3 linked regions of the Macaca fascicularis genome follow. The protein of the gene in region 2 interacts with the protein of the main gene of each other region in a biochemical or structural test. Links are inferred from orthologs where the notes say so. Each region holds a gene or a part of one and is shown on either strand. Other genes may lie near its edges. The genes, in order: LRP2, GIPC1 and RGS19.

Region 1 (3,647 bases), on a different chromosome or scaffold from region 2:
GTTATGGTCACTTTTAGAAGGCCCATGGGATGAACACACCTACATTAGTTAGAAAGACTAAGGAAAAACTTCATGTTAACCTTAAGCACAAAGAGCATTTGATAACATCAATAACAACCTGAGATGCTGCTGGTGCTCCCTCTTTGCTACTTTTATCATATTGGGGTAGAAGTTGTCCTATGAAAATGTATATTTAGAGTGTTTCAAGTTGGTATTGAGCATTTAGAGCTTCAGGTAGAAAAGGGGGGACATTCTGGAAAATATACCTTTCAGTAGAAAGTGGGTTATGATGTTGCTATGAATTCTAATGTACTTTAGAAGCTGAAGATAGGCACATTCTCTCTAAGTTTGAAGACGCAATCTCTGTAATTCCTAGGAGTAAGAATTTAGTTTTCAAAGCCTAGACTGGGACATTTATTTATCATCTTGGAAAAGACAACATATAGTGACCCAAACTTCAACCTTATACATTTTGTTCTGAATTTGGAAAGTTCTCCCTTTTTTTCTTCTTGGTTCTCCATTGATCAGCATGCACTTTCATTTTCCCATAGGAAATCTTTATTTCACCAATGCCTTTGTTTCTGAAACACTGATAGAAGTTCTGCGGATCAATACTACTTACCGCCGTGTTCTTCTTAAAGTCACAGTGGACATGCCTAGGCATATCGTTGTAGATCCCAAGAACAGATACCTCTTCTGGGCTGACTATGGGCAGAGACCAAAGATTGAGCGTTCTTTCCTTGACTGTACCAATCGAACTGTGCTTGTGTCCGAGGGCATTGTCACCCCACGGGGCTTGGCAGTGGACCGAAGCGATGGCTACGTTTATTGGGTTGATGATTCTTTAGATATAATTGCAAGGATTCGTATCAATGGAGAGAACTCTGAGGTGATTCGTTACGGCAGTCGTTACCCAACTCCTTATGGCATCACTGTTTTTGGAAATTCTATCATATGGGTAGATAGGAATTTGAAAAAAATCTTCCAAGCCAGCAAGGAACCAGAGAACACAGACCCACCCACAGTGATAAGAGACAATATCAACTGGCTAAGAGATGTGACCATCTTTGACAAGCAAGTCCAACCCCAGTCACCAGCAGAGGTCAACAACAACCCTTGCTTGGAAAATAATGGTGGGTGCTCTCATCTCTGCTTTGCTCTGCCTGGATTGTACACCCCGAAATGTGACTGTGCCTTTGGGACCCTAGAAAGTGATGGCAAGAATTGTGCCATTTCAACAGAAAATTTCCTCATCTTTGCTTTGTCTAATTCCTTGAGAAGCTTACACTTGGACCCTGAAAACCATAGCCCACCTTTCCAAACAATAAATGTGGAAAGAACTGTCATGTCTCTAGACTATGACAGTGTAAGTGATAGAATCTACTTCACACAAAATTTAGCCTCTGGAGTTGGACAGATTTCCTATGTCAGCCTGTCTTCAGGGATCCATACTCCAACTGTCATTGCTTCAGGTAAGTGCACTCCAGGTGCTGCTTATCCTGCAAGTAGACACAATGGGGTCAACACACATGGATGACTGAGTGTTTCCAATGCATATGAGACTCTAATGTCTTTGTGTGTGCTTGTGTGTGTGTCTGCCGGTATGTGTCCAGGTATAGGGACTGCTGATGGCATTGCCTTTGATTGGATTACTAGAAGAATTTATTACAGTGACTACCTCAACCAGACGATTAATTCCATGGCTGAAGATGGGTCTAACCGCACTGTGATAGCCCGCGTTCCAAAACCAAGAGCAATTGTGTTAGATCCCTGCCAAGGGTATGCCATCATCTTTGTTATATTTCTGTCTGCTTATTTCTGGAAAGAGTGGGGCCTGAAATTGTGTTCATAGATAGCCAGTGTGTTATGGGCTTATAACACCATGGCTACAGATCCAAGGGTGAAAGCATATTGAATGATTTTACCTGGGAAGGAGGGTGCAGCGTGTAGCTCCCTTTGATGGCAGAAAGGTTGGCAACATACTAGGAAGTCAACACCCTGACTCAATAGATCCCTTTTGGATGAGTTGTGTAAGTAGAAATGGAGTTTCTTTTGCCATGTTACTGGCAATTTGCAATTAAAGAATGTTGTCCTTTTTTTCTTTCTTTTCTTTTTCTTTTTTTTCTTAAGGACTATGAGGTTCCCTGTGAATTAATTATTGACTCCTTTTGTACGACTAGGTACCTGTACTGGGCTGATTGGGATATGCATGCCAAAATCGAGAGAGCCACATTGGGAGGAAACTTCCGGGTACCCATTGTGAACAGCAGCCTGGTCATGCCCAGTGGGCTGACTCTGGACTATGAGGAGGACCTTCTGTACTGGGTGGACGCTAGTCTGTAGGTGTCTCTGGTTACTCATGTGGGTGTTAAGAAGAGTTTTTCCTCCCATTTCCAAAGAAGAGGGATTTGCATCATGTGATGAAAAGATAATATGCCAGATAGACATTGCCAAAATATAGAATCACAGTTTTAGGAACTATGTTTATATTGTAACTTGGTGAACATACCTGTGAAAATTTATCTATATCATGCATTGAATAATTATGAACTAAAAGACATCTGAAGGTGCATTGCTAAATATATCTGTAATTTCAGCTATAATTATAAATGTATTTTCTCAATTTAGAATTACAAATGAAATTACTCAACTTACATTCTGCAGGCCCTAGGTAACTGCCATAAAATCTGAATGACTTTTAAATGCCCATTGATATTAAGATTTTTTCTGGGCTTTAGCATTCAATGTCTTTTAGAAAAGTATTTTCTTTATTCTTTGACTTTTGGTCATCTTTTCAAATAGACCCTTTCTTCTCTGGCAAGCTTCTCCTCAGCACATTTCTTAATATTTTCCTTTTGTCAACTCTAATTTTGTATGTAACTTCTCCAAGTACCCCCCATGTGTCTCACATTCCAGTCATCCTAATGGAATAGTTGAAGGGATGAAATGATTTTGTTTATTATAGCTGGTGTCTACATACTAGGAATCTTACATTTTCCTTGCATATTTCTTTGGAATTTTAGTCTTGTGATGCCAAGCTCCTAACCTCCTGATCTTTTGTTTATTCTCCTATTTGAAACAAAGCAGTGATACTTTGGGTCTAAGCTTGGATTATTCTAGGTAAATGCTTCAAGGTACTCAATAAATGTCAAATCGAAAAAGTCACTAAGGAAGTGGGATGGAAAAGTTATTGTTTTATTGAGAATCTGCTATGTGCTCAACACTGAGTTCCATGCATTACATGGATTATTTCATGTTTTCCTGTTTCTAATGTCAACCCGGTTCCTTTTTCAGGATTACTATTCATATTTGGAAGTCAATGATTTTATAAAGTCTATTGTTTGATAAGCAAACAAGACCTCCCATCTCCAGAAGAAACATTTCTAGCTGCCATATGCCCCACTTGAAAAGAAAGTTGGGGGCTTGTGTAAACAATCATGAGGCACATGTATTGGGTTGCCAGTTGAAAACTTAACTCATTTGAGATTTCAACTTCTTAATTTTTTTTTTTTTTTTTTTTGCTTCATTTTAGGCAGAAGATTGAACGCAGCACTCTGACGGGCATGGATCGTGAAGTCATTGTCAATGCAGCCGTTCATGCTTTCGGCTTGACTCTCTATGGCCAGTATATTTACTGGACTGACTTG
Region 2 (3,109 bases):
CACGGAGCCTCGCAAGGCCTTCGGTGAGGAGCCGCCCCCTGCACCTCCCCAATGGCGCTGCTCACACGGGCGCAGGCGGTGGTGCCGGGAGCGGCCAGCAGGTGGCGCCCGAGCCTGGGCAGCCGAAAGGGAAGTGGGTGCAGCTCCTCCCGGTCCCGAGACGAGGTGCTGGTCCTTGGCCCAGCCGGAGAGAAGGGCGGGGGCAAGGAGGAAGGTGTCCTCACCCCTGGCCAGCCCCCACCCCTAACAGGTCAGACTTGGCCGCTCAGTACCAGCCCCCCCACTTTTCCATCTGGCTTCACTAACTCTAAGGAATGGGCCCCAGGCCCCTGAGATGGGGGTGGGGGACTGAATCACTTCCCCGGGCAGGTAGGGCTGGTCTGTGGCCCGGGAGCCATACCCCCTTGGCCAAGAGGAGACGGACTCAGGCAGCTGGAGACTCAGGCTGGGGTACACCCGCTTCCTGTCCCAGCCCCTGGGAGCAGAAGTGGCCCCTCCAGTCTCCCCTCTAGCATTTCCTATTCCTGGCCCCCAGCTGTCCCCCCTGCTCTGCCCCACATCCATGCCAGGCCTGAGTCAGGATTCCTGCCCTGGCCCCAGCCCCCAGGAACTTGCAGAAGCTTGGAGAAGTTTGGGGTGGTGTCGAAAGCCAGGAGGGCCAAGTTCCTGCCCAGAGCGTGCTAAAACCGAGCTTCCCCCACACGCACCCCTCTCCTACCTCCCACAGACATGATCAGCCAACGCTCAGCGGGTGGCCGCCCTGGCTCTGGCCCACAACTGGGCACTGGCCGAGGGACCCTGCGGCTCCGATCCCGGGGCCCTGCCACGGTGGAGGATCTGGTGAGTGCTCCAGCTGGACCCTATCTCCAGCATTCCTTCCCTTTCTTTTTTTTGAGACAGAGTCTCACTGTTGTCACCCAGGCTGGAGTATAGTAGCTCGATCTCGGCTCACTGCAACCTCAGCCTCACAGGTTCAAGCAATTCTCCTGCCTCAGCCTCCCAAGTAGCTGGGACTACAGGCGCCCGCCACCATGCCCGGCTGATTTTTGTATTTTTAGTAGAGACGGGGTTTCACCATGTTGGCCAGGCTGGTCTCGAACTCCTGGCCTCAGGTGATCCAGCCTCCTTGGCCTCCCAAAGTGCTGGGATTATAGGCGTGAGCCACCACCCCCAGCCCTCACTTCCTTTTCATAGTAGGCAGCATCATCTGTTAGCTGAGGGGACTCTGGGCAGACAGCCTGGATTCTAGTCCACTTCTGCCACTTCCCAGCTCCCAGGGACCTTCCTTGGGCACGTGGGCCTCAGTTTGCCCATCAGTAAAATGGGGATGAGATGAACACCGATACCTTCTTCTCAGGGTTGTCCTGAGGTCTAAATAGGAATATATGTAAAGTGGTGACAAGGGCGGTCAGTCCAATTACAATGTATATTCACATTGTTATGATGTCGCTGTCACCCCTCCTGGCCCCCAGCCCTCCGCCTTTGAAGAGAAGGCCATTGAGAAGGTGGATGACCTGCTGGAGAGTTACATGGGTATCAGGGACACGGAGTTGGGTAAGTGAGGGCTGCCTGCGGGGGCGTGGGGGGCGGCATCTAGGTCTGGTGCTGGCTGAATCCACCCTGAGTCCCTTGGTCCCTGGTGTCATTTGTGCCTCCATTCTGCCCCCTCCGCCAATAGCGGCCACCATGGTGGAGCTGGGAAAGGACAAAAGGAACCCGGATGAGCTGGCCGAGGCCCTGGACGAACGGCTGGGTGACTTTGCCTTCCCTGACGAATTCGTCTTTGACGTCTGGGGCGCCATCGGGGACGCCAAGGTCGGCCGCTACTAGGACTCCCCCCGGACCCTGCGATGATGACCCGGGCCCAACCTGGTGGGGGCCCCCAGCAGGGACACTGACATCAGGACTCAAGCCTCCAGCCTGAGCCTAGCTCAGCAGCCCAAGGATGATGGGGAGGGGAGGTGGGGCCGGGCCCCCTGCCCCGCTCCAATCGGTACCATCCCCTCCCCGGTTCCCAATCTGTCCGGGGTCCCCGGCCCCCCTGTGCCCTGTTCCCCACCTACCTCAGCCGGGTCAGGCACGGGGAAGGGAGGGATCGGCCAAATTGGGCGGCCACCCCCGCCTCCACCACTTTCCACCATCAGCTGCCAAACTGGTCCCTCCGTCTCCCTGGGGCCTTGGGTTCTGCTCGGGGGTCATGACCTTCCTAGTTTCCTGACGCAGGGAATATAGGGGAGAGGGTTGTCCCTCCCCCCAGCAAATGCAATAATGCCCTCGCCCCTCCTGAGAGGAGCCCCCGCCCCGTGGAGCCTGTTACCTCCGCATTTGACATGAGTCTGCTGTGAACCCCCCAACCTCCTCCCCAACTCCCATCTCCCCCCTCCAGGCCTATCCCTGGCCCAGAGCAGGAGGGAGGGAGGGACGATGGCGGTGGGCTTTTGTATCTGAATTTGCTGTCTTGAACATAAAGAATCTATCTGCTGTTGGACCTGCGTGGCTTCGGGGTGGGAGAGGGGGAGGGTCGGGGCTGAGAAAGAATTCAGCAGCTGAAATCCATCTTCCGCAGGCTCCAAATTGAATTAGGAGCTGGCACCAGGCCGCCTGCCCCCTCCCACTGTTCCTTCTGGCTGCAGGCCACCAGGCTTCCAGGCAGAGCCAGAGCTTCCTGGACTACTGAGGGTTCAAATCCTGCCCCCTCTCCCACAAGGCCTCCCGCCCCCTGGAGCTTCACAAGGCTGCCGTCTGCAGCCGGTGACAACCCCTGGACTGGGGGGAGTACCAGGGCATTGAAACTTGGCTTGGAAATAGATGGAACCTCAGGCCTGCCAGAGCCCCACCCCTACACCGGGAAGTTGGGGGCAGACACGATGCAGCCCCCACCCCACGCGGCCCAATGCTGGACATGCAGGCGTCCATGGGGCACCCTGCTTACTAAACCCGGCATACTTGTTTTGACAACCCACTCATCTTCAAGGATTGAGGGTGATCAGGGAAAGGCGGGGTGGGACCTTGGCCAGACCTGGAGACAAGGGAAGGGATTGAAGCAAGGGGTGCTGGGCCACAGGGCCCCACAGGAATGTTTGGGGGTGAGCCGAGAGGCTGTGGGGAA
Region 3 (4,138 bases), on a different chromosome or scaffold from region 2:
GGGCCCTCTGACCTCTGACCTCTGACCTCCCCCTTCAGGCCCTCACCCCCCTCGGCAGTGCAACACCCTCCCCTCTCAGCCCTCCCGCCTCTCACTCAGGCCTTCCCTGCCTGCTCCCCACAACTCACTCTATGCCCCTAGCATCAGATCCAGGCCCATCTATGTTGCTGGCTTCTGGTCCCACTGCCTGGCCCACAGGGGCACCCAGATACTGATACTTGTCCATTGAATGAGGAACACAAGTAAAATCTCCCTTTCCACCCCTCAGAGTTCTGTGAAGGTGTAAGGTGTGCACCTGACCTGTGCAATTGGAAGGCATTTGATGAACAGGACCCCGACATTGGGAGCTATCCGGGTCGAGTGCTTGTGCTGGGTAGGACGGGAGCTGCACACAGCTGGGCCCGGGGAGGGCGGGGGGCACAGATGCTCTGCAGACACTTCCGGAGCAGGGTCAGGGCCACCGACACTGGGCCAAAGCATGCTGCGATGAGAAGCCTGGCCCACATCTGTACCGAGTCATAAAGGATGAGAAGAGTCAGCCAAAGGGGACAGTGTGGCTTTAAGCCGTAAGACATCTTGGGACACACGGGTCAGCAGGGACTCTGCCAGGCCCCGCAGGAGACATTCGACATGACTCCGGGTGCACGAACCCGCACCCCCAGTTCTCCCCAGCCCCGCAGCACAGGAATCTCCCCCTTCCTTGGGAACCCCCCACAGCACGACAGGCTCTTAACCCAGTTTTACAGACGAAGCTCACGGAGGCGAGGGGTGGGCCGGGCTGGCGTGCCCGCCGATCGGTCCTTTCCAGCAGCCGCCTCTTTCCCAAGCAGGGCAAGCAGCATATGGGGCCCCGCTCTCCTGCCTCCACACTGGAGTGTCGTGCAAGTCCCACACGAACAGCAAGGCAGGAACGGCCCCGCCGAGCAGAGTCGGGGGCCACGGCCACACCCCCATCTACTACCGTGCAGCTCCGTCGGCCCGGGGGCCAGGGCTCCACTACGAGCACCTCAACCCTCCGGGCCACCCCCAAGCGACTGTGGGGGCCGAGCGCGGGCGGGGCGGGTGGGGTGTGGAGCCGGCCGAGCGCGGGGCGGGGCGGGGCGCGGCGGGCGGGGCGGGCCCGGCGCCTCCCGGCGCGAGGAAGTCCCGGCCCCTGGCTTTGGGGAAGTGCTGCCGAGGCGCCTGCGCACTGCGCCCCCGCGCCCCCTCCCCGACTGTCGGGCCGGACCTTGGAGCGCGCGGGCCGGCGGCGGCGCGAGTGGCTCGGGAGCGCGGCTGGTGAGTGCGCGCGCGCCGCGCCGGGGACAGCGGCCCTGCCCCTCCCGGCCCGGGCCCGGGGACCGTGCGGGGCGGGAGCTTCGGGAGCCGGCGCACGGGACTCGAACCCCAAGGACTCCCGCCGCCAGGTCCACGTGGACCCTGGGCCGCAGTGGAACTGGAGCCCGCCCCCCGCGCTTGGGGGAGGGGGCGCTGCAGCCGGGTTCCCCTTTTTGTGGAGCTCAAAGCCTGGGGAAGTGATTGCTTAAAGGTGGGGGCCGGAAGAACCCAGGTTTCCGCGTCTCCCTCCCCCCCGCCAGCCCGGTGAGGAGGGGCCGGGGCGGGACACCCTGTCCGCCCCCGCCCCCACCCCGCTGGATCTGGCAGCCACTCAGCCCTTCGAGCTGTAGGGGAGGCGCTGCGCCCCCGGCCCCAGCCGATCGGGGGCTCCTGGCGCTAGCCTCCCTCCAGAGCGCCGCAGGAGTCCCTCCTGCCGTCTGACTTGAGTCCCTGCTGCTGCAGTGCACGCCCCTTCGGCAGCCAGGGTGGGGCCCAGACCCAACCTGGCCCCTCCTGCCCCCACCCTGCCTTTGGGTCGCTGGTGAGTAGGGAGCATTGAGGTAGGGGTGGGGGCGTCAGAGGCTGGAGAAAGAGGCACCTGGAGGAGGACACAGGCTCCTCCAGGCGGGACCCTAACAGCAGCCAGAGGAGCGTGGTGGGTGGGTCACCACCACCATTTCAGAGGTGGGGAGAGCTGGCCTTCCTTGGAGGGGCCAGGCCAGGGCTCATCCACCAGCCAGATGTGGAGGGTGGCAGATGGGAAAGGCCCTGGGTGGGCGCTAAGAACTGAGAATGGAGCCCCTCTTCAACCCCTCCCAAAGGTTATGACATTTTTTTCTGGGATTGTCACATTTTCTTATTCTTTTTTTGGACTGGGCAGGCTCTGGGACGTTCTTTTTCCTTCTGTGGAGCAAAGCAGCAGCCACTCCCAAGGGAGCCTCTATCCCCAGAGACCAGACGTGCCGCCTGTCCAGACTCTCCCATCCCAGACTTGGGGGCCAAAGCCTGGGAGGCTGGGGAAGGGGGGTCCCCAATCCCAGGATGACAAGCAGGAGGACCCTAGTTGAGACTCTGTATCCTCCAGGAGAGAAGGGGGTGTAGCCTGGGGACATGGGTTGCCCCAGCTGACCTGAGAAGGGTACAGGAAGCCCAGTCCAGGGACAGGTGACCCGGTCCAGGGCCTGAAGCTGGGAAAGAAGGGGCTGGCTCCCTCCTCTGCAGCAAATGCAGCCCCTAGCACCCCGGCCTGGCACCCCTAAACATGTCCCCTCCTCCAGTTCAGAGCTGGGGTGGACATGGTAGCCCAGGAGGGACAGTCTCCGGGGTGCTAGAGTGTGGGGGAGGACCCTGGGTGGGGGCAGAGAGGAGGAAGAACTGCTGCCTGGGGAAGTCACAGACAGCCCCGTCTGGGCACAGCTACCAAACCTCAGGTTGCCACGCCCCTTCCTTTCCCTAGAAACTTGACCCCTGAAAGCAAGCCCAGCTGCGGGGCCACCTTCTGTCTCCTCATCTACTTGCTAGGAACCTGTGGGACCCACAGTCTCAGAGGAAGCTGGGCAGGCGGTGAGGGGCCGAGGTCCCGGGGGATGCTGCACCTGCCCCAGACTTGGGCCAGGGCAGTGGCCTCTGCATGCCCAGGCCTCAGGGGTATTGGGGGCCCTGAGAGTGCAGAACTCCAGCACTGTCTCCTCTGAGCGCCATTCACACACCGTCCCAGAAGGCCAAGAGAGACCAACCAGACAGAAACAAGCATTCAAAGGCCACAAGCTAAGGGAGGCGTGGCGGGGGGGATGAAGATTGAGAAAATAAAGTAGAACCAAGTTGTGAGCTTCCTGGCCAGGGAGGAGGGTGGTGGACATGCATGGAGGCCCAGAGGGCAGAGGTGGGCGCAGGTGTTCACAACTGCCTCCGGGGCACTGATTGGCCCCCCTGTGCCATTGCCCAAGGAGACCTGGGGTTCAAAGTGGTATCTTAGGTGGCACGAGGGCCACCCACAGCTTTGGCGCTCCTGGTGCACCTCCCCTGCCGATGGTGCAACCAAACGCTGGGAGGTACACGCACCACACCACACCCCTCAGGGACTCTGAGGCTTTGACTGGGGAGGAGGGTGCCTCCACCCACTGCCACCCCCACTTCCCTGGCTGGCGCACTGTGTGGTACGGCCTTGGTTCCACAGCGGTTTCACAGCCTAGAGGCAGTGGGCAAGGAGGGAGGGAAGTCTTGGGAGGGAGGTAGCAGGACCAAAGAACCATGTTTGGGGGGCACGTCCCTCCTCACCAGGGCCCTGCCCCCCTCCCCACACCCTCAGAGAGTCCAGCCCTGAGTCCCACTTAAAACCTCACTGCGGCAGGTCTAACCTGCTGCCCCTGGCTGAGACCTCTGGGACCCGCAGACAGACCTGGACTCTTGGTGGGAGCTGCTCTGCCCACTCCCCACCCCAGACGCCCTAGAAGCAAGTCTGGCCACCACCCGCACGCACAGTTGGTAGCCCCAGACTCTTGGGGCCCCTTTGGGAGGGGCTGGGAGCCGGAAACCGAGAAAGAGGAACCCAGGCTTCCGGCTTCCCAGGGAGTGAGCGGATGGGGGTGTCTCGGAACCTTCTGTGGGGGCCTCATCTGGGGCCCAGCCTGGGAGGAGGGGCCAGAAGTTGCTGCAGCCCCCTCCTCAATGACCCTAGACCCCCTCCCAGCCCTGCTGTAAGCTTGGGGTTGGGGTAGAAGCCCTGGACAGAGCCGGGTCCAGAGGCAGGAGCAGGCCCTGCTAGGGAGACACCCTCTCAGGACCCCTCCTAAGGGACAGGCAGGGGCTGGGGTTTCAGGTT

What was found.
Region 1: the proteins of GIPC1 (region 2) and LRP2 form a complex in vitro, tested with the Homo sapiens proteins (2 studies listed by BioGRID). The link is inferred for Macaca fascicularis from reciprocal best matches to the Homo sapiens genes GIPC1 and LRP2.
Region 3: the proteins of GIPC1 (region 2) and RGS19 form a complex in vitro, tested with the Homo sapiens proteins (2 studies listed by BioGRID). The link is inferred for Macaca fascicularis from reciprocal best matches to the Homo sapiens genes GIPC1 and RGS19.

What each region holds. Positions count from the first base shown.
Region 1 is NC_088386.1:64,772,728-64,776,374, reverse strand, and holds part of LRP2 (low-density lipoprotein receptor-related protein 2), read left to right. Parts: intron 1-551; coding exon 552-1,472; intron 1,473-1,613; coding exon 1,614-1,779; intron 1,780-2,180; coding exon 2,181-2,339; intron 2,340-3,532; coding exon 3,533-3,647. UniProt on the Homo sapiens protein: Multiligand endocytic receptor. Acts together with CUBN to mediate endocytosis of high-density lipoproteins. Mediates receptor-mediated uptake of polybasic drugs such as aprotinin, aminoglycosides and polymyxin B.
Region 2 is NC_088393.1:14,912,142-14,915,250, reverse strand, and holds the end of GIPC1 (PDZ domain-containing protein GIPC1), read left to right. Parts: coding exon 1-23; intron 24-727; coding exon 728-840; intron 841-1,472; coding exon 1,473-1,554; intron 1,555-1,678; coding exon 1,679-1,830; 3' UTR 1,831-2,485; downstream 2,486-3,109. UniProt on the Homo sapiens protein: May be involved in G protein-linked signaling.
Region 3 is NC_088384.1:120,217,638-120,221,775, reverse strand, and holds the start of RGS19 (regulator of G-protein signaling 19), read left to right. Parts: upstream 1-1,212; 5' UTR 1,213-1,278; exon of another isoform or gene 1,279-1,858; intron 1,859-3,875; exon of another isoform or gene 3,876-4,013; intron 4,014-4,138. Other genes in the region: protein LKAAEAR1, read left to right, coding at 269-286. UniProt on the Homo sapiens protein: Inhibits signal transduction by increasing the GTPase activity of G protein alpha subunits thereby driving them into their inactive GDP-bound form. Binds to G-alpha subfamily 1 members, with the order G(i)a3 > G(i)a1 > G(o)a >> G(z)a/G(i)a2.